Linked DNA regions of Tribolium castaneum. The protein of the gene in region 1 interacts with the protein of each later gene in a pairwise test. Links are inferred from orthologs where the notes say so. Each region holds a gene or a part of one and is shown on either strand. Other genes may lie near its edges.

What was found.
Region 2: the proteins of Aplip1 (region 1) and Rbp interact in a two-hybrid assay, tested with the Drosophila melanogaster proteins (2 studies listed by BioGRID). The link is inferred for Tribolium castaneum from reciprocal best matches to the Drosophila melanogaster genes Aplip1 and Rbp.

The regions. Positions count from the first base shown.
Region 1 is NC_087394.1:6,461,901-6,468,572, forward strand, and holds part of Aplip1 (JNK-interacting protein 1), read left to right. Parts: intron 1-2,623; coding exon 2,624-3,040; intron 3,041-3,097; coding exon 3,098-3,378; intron 3,379-6,672. UniProt on the Drosophila melanogaster protein: The JNK-interacting protein (JIP) group of scaffold proteins selectively mediates JNK signaling by aggregating specific components of the MAPK cascade to form a functional JNK signaling module.
Region 2 is NC_087401.1:8,016,178-8,023,553, forward strand, and holds the start of Rbp (RIMS-binding protein 2), read left to right. Parts: upstream 1-3,250; 5' UTR 3,251-3,374; intron 3,375-7,376.

The DNA.
Region 1 (6,672 bases):
TAATTTAATAGTCATACTAACATTAGTACTTCGACTTTCATAAGAAATTGGAAAGTTCATAAAACACTCTTAGATTGAGTTTGAAAAAATTTCTTTTTTGTTTTCGAGGATAAATAAGTTCCTTAGTTTATAAAAATTTTCTGAAAATAAAAAACTTTATCGTTCCAAATAATATTATATGCATTTCTAAGAATTCCAGAAACTTTAACTTGTTGGAGTTTTGAAAAAATAATTTTTTGAGTTTTCCAGTATAAATTAATGAGTTTCAGTTTATCAGCAACCTCTAATAAATAAAAGAAAATGTATCTGTAGATATAGTTTAGAAAAAATTTTGATTTTTTGGGTACGTTTTTTAGCAAGAAATTAAAAACTTACCTATGAGCGACATCTAATATTTAAATGCTTCGCTGCAAAAGATTTTGCTCAGCTAGTGTCCTCTAGCAACTAAGTAGCTTTGTCACTTTTTTTTTAAACTTCAATAATAAAAGAAATTAATAGTTTTATATTCTAAATTTCAAAATAAATACTTAAAACCACTCAAAATTTTTGGTTATTATCAAATTGATGTTGAAGCTACAGCAATATTGTTTTATTCTAAAATTGTTCAATTTCTTACTTAATTTTCTCACAAAAATCTGGAGTTTTTATCATGAAATATGTCGAAGACAATAAATTTTTTTATTACAACAAATAGCTAAAGTCCGTAATACAGTATAACTTATTTGAAAATCACTAGGCTTTACGGACGTCCATAACGTATTTTTTTGCACACTAGTTTGTAAAAAATGATAACTTTAAAATTTTAAACTACAGTACAATCTCAAAAGTGTAAACACTAAAAGTCCAGGGCTACTGCATCTGTTCGTATTATCGAGGCTATAAATACATTTGGACATAGGTAAAATAACTCAATTTTTTTTTTATTACAAAGAGTTTAATTCTTTATACATATTTTTTAAGCAACAAGTAGAACGTATAAAGTTTGTTAAAATAATTCTCATCTTATTGCCTGAGACGACTTCATGACAAACCACTTGTAAAACAAGTCGACAAGAAATTACACTAATACAAATATTTATGTTTTTTTTCCACATGTAACTGGTTGTTTATACCTGTGACGTCCGATTACAGCACTGCTAAATACAATAAGTTTAAGCTGAACTAAAACAGTTGTTCTTCACAGAGTGTCTACTCGTATAGTGTCCTATAAATGTTAATGTTGTAGTTTCATTTTGTTAAAACATAAGATTTTTTTGAATAAAGAGTTTACTAATTTATAGCCCGTTTTGTCAGTCCAGTGTTACTTCTAGTTTGATTCTTTTTTTTAATCCTACTTTCAATAAAATTTACTTTTATACACTCTATGTAACAATGAATTCAACGTTTGGCAAAAATGGTGGATGCGCTGGGAAAATTAGTTTATTACCTATTTTATCAAAACCAAATAAATGATTAATTGACAGTATGCATTATTTGTTATTACAAAGATAAGAAATATTAAAGCTCAGTGAAAAATAATGCATACTGTAAATTACTCATTAATTTTTTTGATAAAATGGGTATAAAAATATCTTATTTTTCGACACTGTCATAACTTTCGTTTTTCCTCCAGTGTAAGACAGTTTTGACAACTATTTGGCGTTTCTTAATACAAAACGTCAGATTATTTTTAACAGATTTAAAGCAATTTTAAGCCTTGCTGAGTCTAATTAGATGAGTAAAATGTTGTATTCAACTCTTTTTTGTATAAATCGGTTCATTTACTTTACCTTGTAGATGATAAAGCACTTGTTGTCACTCGTGGTTTGATAATCCACTCGTGAAATAAAACATTCGATTTACACTCAAACTCGTTAAATAATAGGATATTAAAAAATAAGTTTTATAAGATCATTCTTAAAACACGAATTCAAGTTTCAAAAATGAGTGGCATTGGCCACAAATTTTTTGAAATAATGAGTGCTTCAAAGTCTCATGAAACGATTTTTTTAGACTATTTTTTGTAATTTGCCGTTTTTAAACAAAAATTGTTATTTTAACAGATTTAGGGACTTTTTTGACGATTGGTAATGTCGCAATTTTGAAAGTAATAAATTGATTAACATTTTTTTTTATCCAAATTGGGTCAAAAAACAGGAGTATGGATGATATTAAAGGTAATCTTGCAAAAACGCCTTTTGAAATTTAAGAAATTTACAAAAATACGGTTGCGAATTTGGTTCCTGTCAAAATAAAAAATTTCATAAAATGTTTAGTCAAATAATGACTATTATAACTTTGCACTTGATAATGTTGAGTGCTTTAAGATGTCTATTAAAGCATCAAAATGGCGGCAAATTACAAAACTAACTATTATCTCGGCGCATCCACCATTTTTGCCAAACATTAAAAACGTTAATGCTTCTCAAATGCAATCAAAGCGAAAAAATTAATATTTACGGAGAATTTTACCAGCTATAGTTTACACTACACAACATACACGCCTTACGGACTATCTTTTCAACTCTTTGGTCACCAAAATTATTAACCATTTTATTTCGTGTCAAACTCACTGACAGTGTTTTCACTTGTCATTTTACCAACAATTTTTAAATCTTTATTATATACCAGTGTATTTTTGCAGCTTCTGTCGTCAGTATGTACAATGCACAATACCACGTATCTCGAGAAATGTCTCTCGCAGACGAACTAGGCAGTACAGGGGGAGGAGGCAGCGGACCAAGCTCAATCTTAGTATTAAAATGCGGATATCTATGGGACACAGACTCGCCCGATTCGGAGCGCCTTATCACAGACGCCGACAGCGGCCACAGCACGGCCCATTCTCCCACAGGAACCGACGGTTTCAAATCCATGTCGCCCATCATGGGCATATCGCCTTCGTGCGTCGACGGAGGCCTGGTGTACAACGACGTTGAAATGCTGGAAGCCACCCATCGGGGACTTCACAAGTTTGTTCCCCGACACGATGACGAGATCGAGGTGGAAATCGGGGACCCAATCTACGTGCAGAAGGAGGCGGACGATCTCTGGTCGGAAGGTGGGACTTTGAGCGCTGGAGCGCTGCGATAAAACTGATCGTGTTGTTATTATTTAGGGGTTAATCTGCGGACGGGGAGGATGGGGATTTTCCCGTCTGCTTATGCAGTGGACTGTGATTACAGCGATTGGGATTCATCGTGTGAGCACGGGAGGAGGGAGCGGTATTTGTTGGGGTATTTGGGGTCGGTGGAGACGTTAGCACACAAGGGGACGTCGGTGGTTTGTCAAGCCGTGAGGAGGGTTATCGGAAATTCGGGAAGCGATCCGGAGTCGCAACCGTGCATTCTTGAGGTTTCCGATCAAGGCCTGAGGATGGTCGACAGGAGGAAACGAAACGTTAGTATGTTAGGGCGTCTGAGTGTAAATTACATTTTGTGCAAATTTATCATGTGCTTAAACACGCTTAAACTTTTATTTACGGACGATTCTTTGGTTAGAAACGAGATAACACTCTTAGAACAAACAAAAAATGTTTTATTCTAATTCAAAAAATGATTTATGTTAGACTTCGGTCGAAAACAGCTTATTCTGGACGATTTCTTGTTTTATTTGAAAAAAACAGACTAAAAACGCTTTATTCAGTTTCAAAAGAACACATAATGTTAAATGTTAAATAATGGATGAAAACGGTTCATTTTAGACTATTTTTTTGCTTAGAAATGAGTACATTTTGTTAAAACAGACAAAAAACGCCATATTCTGGCCTAAAAGAAAGACGTATGACAGGAAAGAGGAAACGAAACGTTTAATAATTTAAATAAAATTTACAGATAATTCTTTGTCAAGAAACAAGAAAACTTTCATAGAACAAACAAAAAATGTTTTATTCAAGTTAAAAAAAAATATTTATATTAGACTTTGGTGGAAAAAAGCTTATTCCGCATGATTCTTTGCTTAAAAACGAGAACACTTGTACAAAACAAACTGAAAACGCCTTATGCAAGCTCAAAAAAAAACAAATAGTGTTATAGTTAGGATAAAACGGCTTATTTCGGACTATTTTTATAAAACTTTTATAAAACAAACTACAAACGCCTTATTCAGACTCAAAAAAACAAATAGTGTTATAGTTGGAATAAAAACGGCTTATTTCGGACACTTTTGCTTAAAAATAAGTAAACTGGTATAAAACAAACTGAAAACGCCTTATTCAGCATAAAAAAAATTATGTTATAGTTTAGATGAAAACGGCTTATTCCGGACGATTTCTTGCTTTATTTGAAAAAAACAGACTGAAAGCGCTTTATTCAGTTTCAAAAGAACGAATAATGTTATAATTTGGATTCATTTGGTTCATTTCGGACTATTTTTTTGCTTAGAAATGAGTACACTTTCTTAAAACAGACAAAAAACGCCATATTTTGGCTTAAAAGAAAGACGTATGACAGGAAAGAGGAAACGAAACGTTTAATAATTTAAATAAAATTTACAGATAATTCTTTGTTAAGAAACAAGAAAACTTTCATAGAACAAACAGAAAATGTTTTATTCTAGTTAAAAAACTTATTTATGTTAGACTTTGGTGGAAAAAAGCTTATTCCGCATAATTCTTTGCTTAAAAATGAAAAAACTTGTACAAAACAAACTGAAAACGCCTTATGCAGGCTCAAAAAAAACAAATAGTGTTATAGTTAGGATAAAAGGGCTTGTTTTAAACTACTTTTATAAAACTTTTATAAAACAAACTACAAACGCCTTAGTCAGACTCAAAAAAACAAATAGTGTTATAGTTGGAATAAAAACGGCTTATTTCGGACAATTTTGCTTAAAAATTAGTGAACTGGTATAAAACAAACTGAAAACGCTTTATTCAGCATAAAAAAAATATGTTATAGTTTAGATGAAAACGGCTTATTCCGGACGATTTCTTGCTTTATTTGAAAAAAACAGACTGAAAACGCTTTATTTAGTTTTAAAAGAACGAATAATGTTATAATTTGGTTTTATTTGGTTCATTTCGGACTATTTTTTTGCTTAGAAATTAGTACACTTTCTTAAAACAGAAAAAATACGCCATATTCTGGCTTAAAAGAAAGACGTATGACAGGAAAGAGGAAACAAAACGTTTAATAATTTAAATAAAATTTACAGATAATTCATTGTTAAGAAACAAGAAAACTTTCATAGAACAAACAGAAAATGTTTTATTCTAGTTAAAAAAATTATTTATGTAAGACTTTGGCGGAAAAAAGCTTATTCCGCATGATTGTTTGCTTAAAAACGAGAAAACTTGTACAAAACAAACTGAAAACGCCATATGCAAGCTCGAAAAAAAACAAATAGTGTTATAGTTAGGATAAAACGGCTTATTTCGGACTATTTTTATAAAACTTTTATAAAACAAACTACAAACGCCTTATTCAGACTCAAAAAAACAAATAGTGTTATAGTTGGAATAAAAACGGCTTATTTCGGACACTTTTGCTTAAAAATGAGTAAACTGATATAAAACAAACTGAAAACGCCTTATTCAGCATAAAAAAAATTATGTTATAGTTTAGATGAAAACGGCTTATTCCGGACGATTTGTTGCTTTATTTAAAAAAAACAGACTGAAAATGCTTTATTCAGTTTCAAAAGAACGAATAATGTTATAATTTGGTTTGATTTGGTTCATTTCGGACTATTTTTTTGCTTCGAAATGAGTACACTTTCTTAAAACAGACTAAAAACGCCATATTCTGGCTTAAAAGAAAGACCTATGACGGGAAAGAGGAAACAATACGTTTAATAATTTAAATAAAATTTACAGATAATTTTTTGTTAAGAAACAAGAAAACTTTCATAGAACAAACAGAAAATGTTTTATTCTAGTTGAAAAAATTATTTATGTTTGACTTTGGTGGAAAGAAGCTTATTCCGCATGATTCTTTGCTTAAAAACAAGAAAACTTGTACAAAACAAACTGAAAACGTCTTATGCAAGCTATAACAAATAGTGTTATAGTTAGGATAAAACGGCTTATTTCGGACAATTTTGCTTAAAAGTTAGTAAACTGGTATAAAACAAACTCAAAAAAAAATGTTATAGTTTAGATGAAAACGACTTATTTCAAACAATTCTTTGCTTAGAAAAGAGTTAACTTTCTTAAAACTAAGTCAAAATGCCATATTATGGCTTAAAAGACAAGTTTTGTGTTATAATTTGGATAAAAATAGCTTATTTCGGTTGATTTTTTGCCTAAAAACGAGTAAACGTTTATAACTTAAGACGCCATATCATTGTTTTAAAGAAAGTTTTGTGCTATAGTTAAGATGAAAACAACTTATTTTGAACGACTCTTTAACTAAAGTTTCTATTAAAAAAATTCAATAGAATGGGACAAGAAATCACTAAATTACGTAAAATTTAAACTCTCTGCGTTCTAAAATTAGTGTCCAATCTTATATTTTTGAGTGGATCATAGTAATATTGTAATGTATCAGTAGTTGTTTTTATTTAAATTGAACATAAAAAAAGAGAAAAAGAAAAAACCGCAAAAAATTTAAAAAAACGAAATTAGTTCAAACACTAGTAAATTTTTACATTTTCTACTGTATTGGATCGAAAATGTTAGATATAACCTTGCTATACATTAATTATTCTGCAAAATTTCTTCACAAAATATCCAAAACGTTATCGAATCTTGTC
Region 2 (7,376 bases), on another chromosome or scaffold:
TGATTGGCGACCATTGAACCCACACATTGGGCAAAAATTTGTCTTATAATTAAATTATTGCCATAATCCGAAAACGACCATTTAGGATTTTTTTTAAGGTATGTTTTCTCTTCTCTTTGGTTTTGTCGTCTCCAGGCCTAATTGCGCATTAGTACGTGTGAAAATTGCGTAAAACCGCGAAATACTACGATCAATTTAAAAGTAATGCAACCAGTATTATAGAAAAGGTGTATAAAAATTTACGAAGTACTACGTTTGCTTTGAGTGTTACGCATTACACGAGACGTGTATAAAAAAATTACCTTTCCAAAATGTTTCAAAAAGTAGGAAGTGCCATTTAAAATTTTAAAGCAATGGTGGCTCGCGACTATGTGCTGAAACCCAAAATTTAACTAATATTGGTTTTAAAATCTCTGGTTACAACACTCGTCAACAATTTTTTTATTTAAATTGAATTGGCTTCAAATCAAAGGCTACTAGGATTAAAAATTTGAAATATAAAATCTTTAACTAAAAAACAATTCGAGAAAAAATTTGATAGATTTATTTTCTCAATGTGAAAAGTTATTGAGACTGGCTCCTTTTAAAATAAAAGCTCTGTATTGTCCTGACTGATTGACCTATCAACGCACAGCCTAAACGGCTACTAAAAAAGGATTTTTGAAAAATCACCCTCTAAAGGGTTAAATGGGGTGTTAAAGTTTGAATAAAAATCCGTCATATTTAGTTTTATTCATGAAAATTAGTATTTGGGCTTTCGGTTAAAAAAGAAGGATGATGTGTTTCAGAATTTTCGAAAAATCAACCCCAAGGGGGTAATAAATCTTGAATAAAAATTTGTAACTTTTGAATTTACATTAATTAAACTTTGTATTGGGGCTTTCAGTGAAAAGTGAAGAAACACGTGTTTTAGTTGGAAATACTAACGTCAAGGGGGTTGAACAGGGGTTGGAATTTGTATAAAAATCCATAATTTTTAATTTTTTTCCATGCAATTGGTACTTAAACTTTTGGTTAAAGATGAAAAACGTGTGTTTAAGTACATTTGGACTTTCTACCCCTAAAGGGGTTAAATACATATAAACATCCATCATTTTTGAAATTATATTTATAAAAATTGGTATTTAGCCATTCGGTGAAAAATAAAGAAACAAGTATTTTATTATTTTTAGAAATTACACCCTCAAACAGGGATAAACATAAAACATCGTAATTTTTGAAGCTATATTCATGAAAAATGGTATTTGATCTTTCGACTAAAAATGCAAAAAGACGTGTTTCTGGATTTTGGAAATTTCACTTCTAAGAGGGTTGAATATAAAAATGTGCCATTTTCCAAGTTATAACCGAGAAAATTGGTATTTGAGGGTTCATCTAAAAATAAAAAAACGCGTGTTTCAGGATTGTTGAAAATTCTACTCCAAGGGAATTAAAAAAAAATCCTTCATTGTTCAAGTTATACAGGGTGCTCAAAAACTGGCGCACCAACTCACTGATACGTTGTCGAAAAGCATGTGTAGATTACGGGAAAAATTTTGAAAAAATTTCTAAAGTCATATTTAAAAAAATATGGAGCTACAATCTTATTTTGTTAACTTCTTCAGTTCTCATTATTTGTTAATGTTTTTATGTTTCACACTAAGCAATCGATCCCATACACAATGATGAATAGTGATTTTTAAATTTACTATCAGACTTTAGCAGTTTTTTGAATTAAAAAAAAAAATTCATCAAAAAATCAGTTTGTAGATGTGTCAACACTGGGAATTATTTCCTAGGAAACCGTTTCAAAAATAATTTATTTTTATTGTTGATGAAATTCTATTGCAATCACGACTGTCCGACAACGTTGCCACATATCATTTATTTAAAATTCGTTATTTATCAATAACTCTAATGCAAGGAATTTTTTTACTATTTTTACCTTCATATAGAAGCAATTCTCTACCACACACCATTGAGTTGGTACGCCGGTTTTTGAGCACTCGGTAAATATAAAAAAACTTTATTGTTGAAGTTATACATATCAATTAATATCTTAGATATTCAGTTAAAAAGGAAGAGGCGTATATTACACCATTTTTAGAAACTCCACCCCTAATGGAATTAAATGCAAAACTCCTTCATTTTTTGAAGTTATATTCAAGAGAATTGGCATATGGACCTTTTTGAAAATTACATCCACAAGAGGGTTAAACAGGGAATGAGTATGTTTGCAATTATGAAAAAAAAAGCAAAATTTACTCGGGTTTGCATTGGATCACGGTTTTAAAGTTCACAATAAACTGATGTGTTTCTACTTTTTGTTATACTAAGTTTTGCATTGTTTTTCTGTGTTTATAAATGGTTGTAGACATGCCGTGGCCAACTGCTAGTTATTAATAAAATACCAAAGGTCCTTTTAACTCTTATAGAATTTTTTTCATTATGTTTCGGCCGTTACGCCATCTGTTATGTATTTGTGTCTGAGGTTGAAACAGCTCTAACATTATCAAAAATAATAAATAAGAGTTAAAAGGACCTTTGGTATTTTATTAAGTAATTAAAATGGTTCAAAGTTTAATCAATTATGACTCGTTAAACGTCGACCATTTGTGCCAAGTTTCATAAAAAAATTCTATGTCCTTGGTGTTGCAATTTTAATGACATTGAGATAGTTTATGATAAGATTTTCGCATTATGTTTATGTATTACTATTGAGGATTTATTGCACTATTTGCCTGAATTTTGTTTTTTTTTGGTTTGCTACCGTCCATTTTTTCAAATTCATGGTTCGGAAAACTAAGACGGTAATGGAACAACTGCGCTCTCTGGCGACATTAACGGAACTACCGAGAACGGGAACGTTTTATTGGTACGTCGTTTTATATCCTAACCTTGTGACATTTTTATCTCTAGACAGACTCAAACTGTAGCGACCTGTAATTTGTCACTTACTATAAAACTAACTGGAAGATGGCACCAGACTCATTTAAAAATTCAATGATTTGATTTTCTTTATGGAACATTTTTTTTTGCTTTTATTTACTTGTATTGTAAACGATATATTAAAAAAACTAGTAAAACTTATTTTTTTTTGAGTAACGTTTCCTAGTATACAGGGTGTGCCAAGATTGGTGCCAGCCCTATACTTCGAAAACGAAAATTTCTGAAATTTTGTACATGTTTGGCCATTATTAAAATCAAATCAAATCGGAGATTTGTCGGCAGATGCCGCCGCCCCCGGCGTGACGTCACTGCTCCGGTCCCCCAAAATCAATTGCAAGACGCGCGCAGATTGATTCAATAGTGACCTATATAGTGATGCCGCCATTTGTAGCTAGTTCAGTGTCTCCGTCCTTAAATTTTCACTAAAAACATCTAAAAAAATCGGGGTGAGTTTTAGTCACATTTTTTTGCTTCTAAACCCTTCGGGAAAATCCCTATTTAAATTGCCCTTGTTGACTACGTCGCGCTCTCGGGCTAATTTGGAAATGGAATTTTCCAAAAATTGCAAAACGAGGGGGAATTACCCAGTTTAGCCCCTTTTTAGGGGTGCAAAAGCGTTGCGAAGGGTGAGCGCGGACGACGGTTAGCTTTTTGGAAATTCCCCCGGAACGCATAAATAATTTTAAAATCGATACGAATCGCGTGACAAGTAATTATGTGAAATTTTTGTGTATGGTTAGTTCGAAGGGAGTAATGATGGGTTTAATGTGTGATTAAGGGTGGGTCGATTTTTTCGACTTATTAAAATTCCAGAGGCGTTCGTCGGTTCTGATGGATCGGAATAAAGACGGGCTTTTGATCGACCAGATTTTTACATTATTTTCACACTATTTTATCAGCGATGGGCTTAAAAGTGGTTTATTATTACATGAATCGATACATGTGTTGTAGCAATTTAAGAGTGATAAAGAGTTATCTATTAGATTAGTGCTTGAGAGGCTTCGACAGATTCTTGCAGCTTTTTCCACTTTTTGCAAGCTCTGTGCTAATGATAATTCGCAAAATCAAATATCAAAAAGTAATAATTCATTAAAATTAAATTTCCAATTTTTATTTTTAGACAATTCTGCACTGTGGCAATTTTTTAATTGGAACGTTAAAATAGCGACATGACAGTTAATTAGGCAAATATCAGCGGATATTTAAAATAATAAATTAGTGAAACACCAGTTTTTTGCTAACTTTTTGAACGATTTTTGATTGTCCTGATTTATTGTCAGAAGTGCATCAACTCAATATCCAATGACAAACACAATAATGCAATTTTTTTTAGATTTTACTGCCATTTATATACTTTTTAAAACTTTGAATACACAATAAATAAATCTAATTTTTCTGTAGTTAGCGCAATTTTTTAACATTCCTTAGCAGACTCATCCTGTAATCAAATATTTCAACGGGTACAAAAGTCAAAAATATTAGATATTAAATATTAATCCGTCGAATTTATAATCATTTTTATGTACTCATTTTGGACACTTACCTAGCTAATCTTTGTTAAAGGCATTGGCAACTTATTTTGCCAGTTCTATTTTTTAACGGAAATTTAAAATATCGCTCGTTCCATGCCAGTAGGTTTTTTTCAAAATTTCCTGGAGAAATAAGTGAAATAATCGCTTCGAAAGAAAGAAATCGTGACGTCACAACCGCCTTTCATCACTCAACCTTCTCAATCGTCAAAAACTTCACAGATATTTGAACATTTTTCACACATTTTTCACAAAATCAAAAATTAACTACTTTTTTGACTAATTTCTGTTCTAAATTTTGCCTTAAAAACATCTTACAATTGGACCAAATGCTCAATAGGCGGTTACAACGTCATAACTCCAACTTTAATTCGAAATAACTTGAGTTAGAGAGCAGATACAGAAGAACGGTAAGCACTTGCAGTACTATCATTTAAAATAAAGTTGTTTTTTAAGTTGCCAATGACTTTAAGAATTTCTAGTTTTTAAAAGTACTCATGCATAAAGTATGAAGTCCACACTTTGAAAAATTTTGTGAAGTCTTTTAGAATTTTCAAAATTGTCAATTGCCAAAATTCAAGGCTAGTAAGATTTTTTTTCAAAATGGTTTTCAAAAAACAGTTTTTTCAAAGGGAAGGACCATAATTTCTTAACGGTAATCGAAATTTATGGTGAATTTTATCAACATATCAATTTTATCAACGTGGCCCAGGGGGTGTAATCGGTCTATTTTTTGGTAATTGAAATATTGCTATGCTGTTTTTATTTTCCGATAGATAGACCTAAAATCCACAAACTAAAAATATTTTTATTATGGACAGGATGGTGAACCAAAGTTATATTTTTCTAAATGGTACACCCTAGATATTTTTGCATAATTGGAATCTACGCAAAAAATAATGTAACTATTATGGTCTATCTTTATCCGTTTTTGGAATTACTGAACTTTTCGTTATGAAAAGACCAATTTTTGAAAAATCAATCCAAAGTCCGGCAAATTTTGCAACAAAAAAATTTAGAATACCTTGTAGTTTTAGCAAATACATGACTTTTAGTTAAAGCAAGCTGATAATATACAGAGTGTGCCAAAACGCTAAAAGTGGAATAACTCATTGTTTTTTTTATGTATTGATAGCATTTTTGATAAGCTTTCTGACGGTATAGCAAATTTAAAATATTTTTCAAAATTTTTCGAAAAAAATCATTTTATTACAAGAAAATTTGTTATCCTAGAATCCTAAAATAAGTCAAATGGTAATTTATTTTTTGGTATGTACTAATGTGACTAATTACATTAGTAATCTAATTATTATTTGATACATAAATGAATTTTGCTCATCAAGAACTAATAATAAAATAAGTAAAAAAAATATTATTTTTAAACACTTTAAGAAATACTTCAAATTTGTTATGCAAACCGCATATCATTAGAAAGCTTATGAAAAATGCTATCGATACGTGTAAAAAATATATGGTGTTCCATTTGAAAAAAAATGAGTTACTCAACTTTTTGCGTTTTGGCACACCTGCGTGTTTTAAGTAAAAGTCGACTATTACTAAAACCAAAGCCAGTAGATATACTAAAGTAGCGACACGGACCTTGACAGGGCAACAATAACGATTATACACTCTACAGATGGCTCCACCATCAAAATTCAAAAACGTACGTCAAAAATGTCAAGATTTTCTCACGTTTGAAAAATTGGTGAATCAGAACAATAAATTCGGTGATCGTCTATAATTTCACCCTGGTTATTACTGTTTATGTGTACAGATACCATGAAACCTTCAAACCTGTGCTTCACTCACGTAAAGTAAATCAGATCTCCCTAAATTCAACTGAACATTGCAATGAGAAAGGCTTTTAGAATGCGCAGAATACAGCACCTCTTATGGACATTTCGAGGAAGGCGCTTCAATAGTGAATTCATTTCTTAAAGGAATTTGAACTTTATATTTAACGAAAAAGCCAACAACACGTTTTTAAATAATAGTTGTTGAACTCAAAAAATTTTGTTACCTACATTTCTAATTTTAATAAACTGCTCCCTAAGTGTTTTTACAGGTTATCGTATTTAATTACTCCAGGATTTTAAATTGGTCGATTTATTTTTTTTTTAATCAAATTTAATTTTTTCCCTCAACACTATTAACAACTGCTATGAAACCAAGACATCTTTCGCAATAAGAAAAGTAAGTGTTTTCAATATTACCCGAGAGGTAAACCGCAGAGGAAATCAGTGTACAAAATCAAGAAATTTTAAGGAAATCACTTTAAAAATTTAGGGAAAAATCAGAAGGAATCATGATTAAATCACAGGTGTACAAAATTTGGGGTACGGTTTACACCTCGATATTACCTAAGAAATAGAAATAATACAACCTGAATTTCTCTTTATTATTGAAATTTTGTATAACATAGTTGCTGTAAATAAGTGGCTATAAAAAGTCCACCAAACTTCGATGCGCTACAATTCCCAGATTTAGATGCATTAAATTTTCTGAAACGAAGGTCAGTGTAAGCAGAGCGGTCTTAAATTCTTTCCCATTAGGGCGGAATCTAATAATTTAGAATGAATTTTCAAGGAAGTATTGTTTAAATCTACCTGAAATACTTAATGAAAATTTGGTATCTTAGAAATTTCTCTTTCAAGCTGATACCTACCACTTTACATTTCTTAAACAAATTTTGTTTGAATGAGTTTCTAGTATTCTCACACAGACGTGTTTCGTAATGTAGACGACTTTGAACAGTCTGGAGGCTCCTTTGTTTAATGTTTTTGGTGTCGATTTATTATTTACGTGATTGAAGCACAGGTTTGAAAGTTCCATGGAATCTGTTCATAACCAATAACCACAGTAAAACTACAGATGAACACCAGAATCACTGTACTCTTTACCAATTTTTCAAAATGAGAG